Linked DNA regions of Saccharomyces cerevisiae S288C. Changing the gene in region 3 together with the main gene of any one other region gives a genetic interaction. Each region holds a gene or a part of one and is shown on either strand. Other genes may lie near its edges.

Region 1 (2,594 bases), on a different chromosome or scaffold from region 3:
GAGCCCATCAGTTATGTAACGAAGGTTACCAGATATATTTTGATGGATTGGTTACTACTGTATGGTCGGCGCCAAACTATTGTTATCGGTGCGGCAATAAAGCATCTATTCTGGAGCTGTATAGTAAAGATCAATTCTACTTCAACGTTTTCGAAGAGGCACCTGAAAATAAACTGTTGAAAGAGAACAGTATGAACGACAATGCCTTAGAAGATAGCATATCTAATCCGGTAGCCAACAGGAAATTGATTGCAGATTATTTCGAAGACGACTCTGCCTCCGCAGATGGCTCCACGGACCCTGAAATGTACATATTTTCAGATGTATACCAAGCCAGATCTGCTTCTAACAGACATGTTGATTACTTCTTGTAGCTTACTAAACAATAGAAAAGCATTATAGAGACAACGCCATCTTATTATTTCTACATATTCTATCTCTCTCGGTTGCAAATGTATGTATTGTGTATTTAGATCAAAAAAAAAAAAACAGCGCATTTTCTACAGGTAATACAGCTCCAAATTTGTCTGATCATGTACCTCATAATCTTCCAGAGAGATATGGTCTTTTAAAACACTTCCACCCTTCTGCAACACAATTTTGTTTGGTTGGGTGCCAATTTGCAAGGACAATACTTTTTTGAAATCACCTACACTATCTTCAGCAAGGCACTTCACTCTGACTTTTTTGCCTAATCGGTCATTCACAACTACCTCAATCATTTTCAGAGTATTTATTTGCAATCTAAGCTTTGCCACCGCTCCTCTTTCTCAATCTTTTCCTCTCCCTCCTCATCTCTCTCAGCCAAAACCGCGAATATATAAAAACAAGCAAGTCTCCCGTAGAACTTTTACACGATGACCTTTCGAGATTTCACAAGGGGGATAAAGGAATGCTGTCCGATACAATTGACACAAAGCAACAACAGCAACAGCTTCATGTCCTGTTCATAGACTCTTATGATTCATTCACCTACAATGTAGTGAGACTAATTGAACAACAAACTGATATCTCACCGGGAGTCAACGCCGTGCACGTGACGACGGTACATAGTGATACGTTCCAATCTATGGATCAGCTATTGCCACTTTTGCCGCTTTTTGATGCTATCGTTGTTGGCCCAGGACCTGGGAATCCCAACAATGGTGCACAAGATATGGGTATAATATCTGAGCTTTTCGAGAATGCCAATGGAAAGTTAGATGAAGTTCCAATATTGGGTATATGTCTTGGGTTCCAAGCAATGTGCTTGGCTCAAGGTGCTGATGTCAGTGAGCTAAATACTATCAAGCATGGGCAAGTGTATGAAATGCATTTAAACGATGCAGCCAGAGCTTGTGGCCTTTTTTCTGGTTATCCCGATACGTTCAAATCTACGAGGTACCATTCATTGCATGTCAATGCCGAAGGCATTGACACCCTTTTGCCCTTATGCACAACCGAAGATGAGAACGGTATTCTTTTGATGAGTGCTCAAACGAAAAATAAGCCATGGTTTGGCGTACAGTACCACCCGGAGTCATGTTGTTCAGAATTGGGGGGGCTGTTAGTCAGTAACTTTCTCAAGTTGAGTTTCATAAATAACGTGAAGACAGGAAGGTGGGAAAAGAAGAAACTTAATGGAGAGTTTTCCGATATCCTATCTCGATTGGATAGGACTATTGATAGAGACCCCATATACAAGGTAAAAGAGAAATATCCGAAGGGCGAGGACACAACTTACGTTAAGCAGTTCGAGGTCTCTGAAGACCCGAAATTGACATTTGAAATTTGCAACATCATACGAGAAGAAAAATTTGTCATGTCATCTTCTGTGATTAGTGAAAATACGGGTGAATGGTCTATCATTGCTTTACCAAACTCCGCATCCCAGGTATTCACTCATTATGGAGCTATGAAAAAGACTACAGTTCATTATTGGCAAGATAGTGAAATTAGTTACACCTTGTTGAAAAAGTGTCTAGATGGTCAAGATTCGGATTTGCCTGGCTCCCTTGAGGTAATACATGAAGATAAATCCCAATTTTGGATCACTTTGGGTAAATTTATGGAGAATAAAATAATCGATAACCACAGAGAAATACCTTTTATTGGAGGTCTTGTTGGCATTTTAGGTTATGAAATAGGTCAGTACATTGCATGCGGCCGTTGCAATGATGATGAGAATTCCCTTGTTCCCGACGCCAAACTAGTTTTTATCAACAATAGTATAGTCATTAATCACAAGCAAGGGAAGCTTTATTGTATTTCTCTGGATAATACATTTCCAGTGGCATTAGAACAATCATTAAGGGACAGTTTTGTTAGAAAGAAGAATATTAAGCAATCCCTGTCCTGGCCCAAGTATCTTCCAGAGGAGATAGACTTCATTATAACTATGCCCGATAAACTTGACTACGCTAAGGCGTTTAAGAAATGTCAGGATTATATGCATAAGGGTGATTCTTATGAAATGTGTCTCACAACGCAAACCAAAGTTGTACCATCTGCGGTGATAGAACCCTGGAGGATTTTCCAGACCTTGGTACAAAGAAACCCGGCTCCATTTTCAAGTTTTTTTGAGTTTAAAGACATTATTCCCCGCCAAGATGAAA
Region 2 (2,791 bases), on a different chromosome or scaffold from region 3:
AGCATCATTTATGTTTTCCCCAGTTTGGGTTCAAATTTTCCTGATGGTTTTCCTAGGCGAGCTAGGTGACCGTTCACAAATTAGTATTATTGCCATGGCTACTGACAGCGACTATTGGTATGTTATTGCAGGTGCTGTTATTGGTCATGCCATTTGCTCTGGATTAGCAGTGGTGGGTGGGAAATTATTGGCAACAAGAATTAGCATAAGAACAATCACTCTTGCTAGCTCGTTGTTATTCTTCATTTTCGCCTTGATGTATATATATCAAGCATTCACAACTCAGGATTGAGATGGTTTGTAACCGTATTCTTCTTGGATTCTCTCTTTTTTCTCTTCATATTTAAGTGTGAATCTTGAAAAGAATATTTATAGACATACGTAACTAGTGTACGGCTGATATTTATTTGATGTAGCTTTTTTTTTTGCTAAGTTCATCGCTTTTCTTTCCCAGCCAACCCAATGAAGTCTTGCGCACGCAATTGGTTGTAATTATCCGATCAGCCGCTATCATCATTGTCACGGTCGGGTTCCTGTAATACCCTTTTCCTTATTATTCCCTTAATTTTTTCATTCGTTTTCTTCTCGAGCACTTCCATAATAGGCGCTAATTTGGCTTTGAGATCGCTGGTTTCGCAAACCTTATCGATGTAACGCTGATGTTCGTTTTTTTGGGGGATAATATATGGCTGACCACTCTCTTTTTGTTTCGTCTTCTGAATAGTTTCTTGTACAAAACTATTCGTTGCGTTAGAGCTCTGTCCTGTTTGAATCACCGTGTCATATACAGGTTCATTTGAAATATTTAAACCAACAAAATCATTGGCTTCTTCTTTGCCTGTTTTGCCCAGCTGGTTGATACGGGCACGTAACTGATTTAATTCTTGGTCCCTTTCTAGTGATAAATCTCGCAGAGAGGGCATACTGGTTGTAAAAAGTAGTCGCAACAAGTAAGTCGTAAAAAAGTAGATGTAATGGAAGGCTTTGAAGGAACGGCTAGCCAGCTTTTCTGTATCATTCCTAGCCTAATTGACAGCATCTTGACCTTCTAGTATGGAAACTTTCAATTTCAGAAAGCGGTGTTCCCCGCTGCGACGATTTAATCCGTACATTTACACATCTGTACATTTTTCATATTCGCAAAACAAAGGTTACTTGAAAAAATCATAAAGTTGGCGGCTTCAGGTGGACGCGCTTCACTCATGTAGCTTAACATTCAATCCCATTAAGCATTATGCATAAATTTCATGAAGTTTACTTAATAAAATTGTTCATTTGCATAGACAAGAAAGAAAGCAACAAGACAACTAAGACTAAGCAACAATGCCAAGTACGTATTAGACTATATCGAAGAGGAGGGAAATTCTTCACTCTGACTCGTTGATTTTGAAAGAGGTTCGGGTCCTCATAAATATTTGAGAATATGAAATTCCATAATAGTATACCTTCATTGAGTAGCACGACAACAGCCTGAATTACTATCCATATTATGAATATCTTTATTTACACTGAACTCCCGACACTTCAGTTAAACAGGGATACATTAGAGATCAAGGTGATCTAATAGGGAACATCTCTCTCGTAACAATGGGACAGTATTTTATTTTCCAAGGCGGATACCTAATTATGCGTTTTTAATCATATCTCTACAATATTTATGAGCACTTACTTGGGCCCTTGCAGACTTTTGTTCCGGGAAAACTTTTGACTAACAAGAATCCAATTTTACTTTTTTTTTTTTAGGAGCTCCAAGAACTTACTCTAAGACTTACTCTACACCAAAGAGACCTTACGAATCTTCTCGTTTGGACGCAGAATTGAAGTTGGCCGGTGAATTCGGTTTGAAGAACAAGAGAGAAATTTACAGAATTTCTTTCCAATTGTCTAAAATTCGTCGTGCTGCCAGAGACTTGTTAACTAGAGACGAAAAGGACCCAAAGAGATTGTTCGAAGGTAATGCCTTGATCAGAAGATTGGTTAGAGTTGGTGTCTTGTCCGAAGACAAGAAGAAGTTGGATTATGTTTTGGCTTTGAAGGTTGAAGATTTCTTGGAAAGAAGATTGCAAACTCAAGTCTACAAGTTGGGTTTGGCCAAGTCTGTCCACCACGCCAGAGTTTTAATCACTCAAAGACACATTGCTGTTGGTAAGCAAATCGTCAACATCCCATCTTTCATGGTCAGATTGGACTCTGAAAAGCACATTGACTTCGCTCCAACTTCTCCATTCGGTGGTGCTAGACCAGGTAGAGTTGCTAGAAGAAACGCTGCTAGAAAGGCTGAAGCTTCCGGTGAAGCTGCTGAAGAAGCCGAAGACGAAGAATAAATAATTCGCTGATTTCATAACTGTATAATAAATTTTATAACTTTTCAAATCACGGATCATTTTTCATTTTACTTTGTCATTTTTATTTCATTTGAAAATGGGTAGAGGTACATAACTGGCGCTTTTCTTGCAAGATGACATGGCATTGGATGACACAAGTATTACTCAATACCCAACGTAAATAGCTAGAAGATTTTGATCGGATTTAAATTCCCAACTGCAACTCAGTAGCGTTTAGGATTTTACACCTTGGCTTGGAGAAATCCTTATTGTCAGAAATTGAAGCCGTTAATATTTAAAGGCTAATTCTCCATGCCATCTTGCATTCACTTTGGTATATATCTCTTGACCTCAATATATCTCGATAATATAAATCGCAATATTATACTTGTTAGTCTGACAGTTTTACACCTGTACATCTTCACCATCACCACACCCTTTTTTACTGGAGGCAAGGATGAGTTTGA
Region 3 (3,068 bases):
TTTCTTTTTTTTCTGTACAAACGCGTGTACGCATGTAACATTATACTGAAAACCTTGCTTGAGAAGGTTTTGGGACGCTCGAAGGCTTTAATTTGCAAGCTTCGCAGTTTACACTCTCATCGTCGCTCTCATCATCGCTTCCGTTGTTGTTTTCCTTAGTAGCGTCTGCTTCCAGAGAGTATTTATCTCTTATTACCTCTAAAGGTTCTGCTTGATTTCTGACTTTGTTCGCCTCATGTGCATATTTTTCTTGGTTCTTTTGGGACAAAATATGCGTAAAGGACTTTTGTTGTTCCCTCACATTCCAGTTTAGTTGTCGACTGATACTGTTAATAAACTCATCGGGCGAGGCTTCCACGGTTGGAAAAGCATATGGGCTGGCGCATATGGTTATAAAATCACCTTTTTGCAATTCAATTCTATCTTTCCCATCAAAAGCCGCCCATGCTGGAGCCCTTGACTTCATCGAGACTTTCACTTTTAAATTTATACTTTCTGGTAAGATGATGGGTCTGAAACTCAATGCATGTGGACAAATGGGTGTTAAAGCGATTGCATTGACGGTTGGGCATACCAATGACCCACCTGCACTCAAAGAATAGGCCGTGGACCCAGTCGGAGTAGCAGCAATCAGTCCGTCCGCCTGCGCAACGGTCATTAATGAGCCGTCACCATACAATTCTAACATGGATAGAAAAGGACTTGGACCACGATCGATGGTCACTTCGTTCAAAATGTGGTGTGTGCTTAGTTTTTCCACCACACATATTTTCTTCCCCGTGTTTGGGTCTACTTCAGGGCGGTGTCTACGATAAATTGTGCACTCCAACCTCAACCGTAAATTTGTCTTGATTTTATGATTCATAATCCGAGGTAAATCCTCCCTGAAATGTTCAAACTTAAAATTTGTTAAAAATCCTAGAGACCCTAATGAAAACGACATAACGGGTGGTACATGTCTCTGAAAAATGGAACTTACAAAAAGAACAGTACCGTCGCCACCCAAAGTCACTACCAAATCGAAGAAAACATCATGTTCCCTGATGAAATCCTTTGTCCAATACTTGATCCTTGATTCTCTACATTTACTATCTTCACATAACTCGCCAGCGGCAAATTTTTTGCTGTTTTTCAATTCGGAATCCACATAAACAGTCACACGTGGAAAATGTACCAAAACCCATTCTACCAACTCTCTTGTTAAGAAATACAGTGAGACATCGTTGAGTTTCGTAACAATCATCAAATTTTCCACATCCAGTTCCACTTTGGTATTAGATATATCTTTACTCAACATTCTTACACCATACGCCGTGGAGGCATACTGAAAGTGTGTATTACTACTCTTAGAACTTCCTCTTGTTCCGTTAATGCTCGTACCACCGCCACTGTTTGCATTGCCGTTCACGAGAGATGAATCTTTATTCAACAGGGAGCTTCTGCGCGAGCTGCTTTCACTTGATATTTTCCTCAACATTTCTTTGGCGTTGTCGATATCCTGAGTTCTATCAATTTGCTCATTGTTCATCATGGCCTTCTTCATCAAGTTATTATTGTTGTTATGATGATCATTTCGACCATCTTCCTCATTTACCCATTTATCTACGCCATTATTCATGTCATTCTCCTTCATCTCAAGAGCTTTTACTCTACTTATTTAGGGAGCCTATTGTATTTTTTTTTGGCTTACGATCACGATGTCAATGATCATTTGCCCTATTATACCTTTTTCTCCGTTCTCTTTGCGTAGTGCGGTGAAATAATTTCAGGATGCATGAAAGAGCAAATAAAAGTGACACACCGTTATATCGCAAGGCGCACCACATCAGTAATCAGATACCTGTGCATTCAAAATGAGTAGAAATGTAGATAAGGCCAACTCAGTTCTGGTACGATTTCAAGAGCAGCAAGCAGAGTCGGCAGGTGGATACAAGGATTATTCACGTTACCAGAGGCCCAGGAACGTGTCTAAGGTAAAATCCATAAAAGAGGCCAACGAATGGAAGCGACAAGTAAGTAAAGAGATAAAACAAAAAAGCACAAGAATATATGATCCGTCTTTAAATGAAATGCAGATTGCGGAACTTAACGACGAACTTAATAATCTTTTCAAAGAATGGAAGAGATGGCAGTGGCACATTGACCATACACTTATGGAAAAAAAAACCAAGAGGAAAAGGTTAGAAGACAGTCATGTGCTGATGAATTCAGGAAAGCTGATAAATGGTAAGAGATATTTTGGAAGAGCCCTGGAATTGCCTGAAGTAAAAGAATGGCTCAAGCAGTCTCAAAGGCAGAATGATGGGGGTTCTATAAACACCAAATGCATACCGAAGGATAGAAATGATTTTTATTACCATGGCAAAGTCACAGCCGCCTTAACCGAATTTGAGGCTAACTGGACATCCATTTTGAAAGCACATTATAATGTGCCTGTGAATGAAGATGAAGAAGAAATGTCAAGGCAGACACAAGAAATCCATGTACCAACTCTGGCAGATATGGAGCATTGGTTAGTGCAAAGAAGAAAAAAGAAACTAATGGATGAACTTAACCTTTAGCTATGGAAAATTATTCAAACATTTAGAAGAGGCACTATTTCGAATGACCATCACAAGCATTATAATCTTCAAACATGTCCGAGCTGCAGATATGAAGTAAAATAGTGATCGGGACTCATTTTTTTTTCTTCTATGATATCATATTGTCCCGTTCGTTATTAAATGTAATTCTTCCACCGTACTAGTTATCGAAGGCAAGATCTCCTTTTTACGCTTAGGTAGATTACATAGATTTCATAATGTACACCAATACAAATGTATCTTATACACTCGTCAAATCTTATATGAATCATGCAGGAGTAGCTCTCGTTTTCTTTTTACGAGCTACTTGAAAAAAAAAAACTAGCGAAAATCCTTTGCTTAGAAATCCAGATTTAAAACAAAACCGCCGAAAAGGGAAAGATTTTATGATAGGAAATACCTTAATAATTCTATATCATCCCGAGTCTTAGGAAAATGATTAGATCTGTGAGAAGGGTTTTCATTTACGTCTCAATATTCGTATTG

What was found. Genes that interact genetically often act in the same process or in processes that back each other up.
Region 1: mutations in ISY1 (region 3) and HUB1 together harm fitness more than expected from each alone (negative genetic interaction), as found in Saccharomyces cerevisiae (4 studies listed by BioGRID, with this or other methods).
Region 2: mutations in ISY1 (region 3) and NTC20 together harm fitness more than expected from each alone (negative genetic interaction), as found in Saccharomyces cerevisiae (6 studies listed by BioGRID, with this or other methods).

Annotation. Positions count from the first base shown.
Region 1 is NC_001146.8:686,743-689,336, forward strand, and holds HUB1 (ubiquitin-like protein HUB1), read right to left. Parts: upstream 723-2,594; coding exon 501-722; downstream 1-500. Other genes in the region: putative serine/threonine-protein kinase PPG1, read left to right, coding at 1-374; ABZ1 (4-amino-4-deoxychorismate synthase), read left to right, coding at 893-2,594. UniProt on the Saccharomyces cerevisiae protein: Forms conjugate with SPH1 and HBT1. Involved in morphogenesis.
Region 2 is NC_001134.8:603,185-605,975, forward strand, and holds NTC20 (Ntc20p), read right to left. Parts: upstream 924-2,791; coding exon 501-923; downstream 1-500. Other genes in the region: putative ribosome biosynthesis protein GDT1, read left to right, coding at 1-292; 40S ribosomal protein uS4 RPS9B, read left to right, coding at 1,324-1,330, 1,744-2,324. UniProt on the Saccharomyces cerevisiae protein: Involved in pre-mRNA splicing. As a component of the NTC complex, associates to the spliceosome to mediate conformational rearrangement or to stabilize the structure of the spliceosome after U4 snRNA dissociation, which leads to spliceosome maturation.
Region 3 is NC_001142.9:526,844-529,911, forward strand, and holds ISY1 (Isy1p), read left to right. Parts: upstream 1-1,853; coding exon 1,854-2,561; downstream 2,562-3,068. Other genes in the region: UTR1 (NADH/NAD(+) kinase), read right to left, coding at 41-1,633; OSM1 (fumarate reductase), read left to right, coding at 3,018-3,068. UniProt on the Saccharomyces cerevisiae protein: Involved in pre-mRNA splicing and cell cycle control.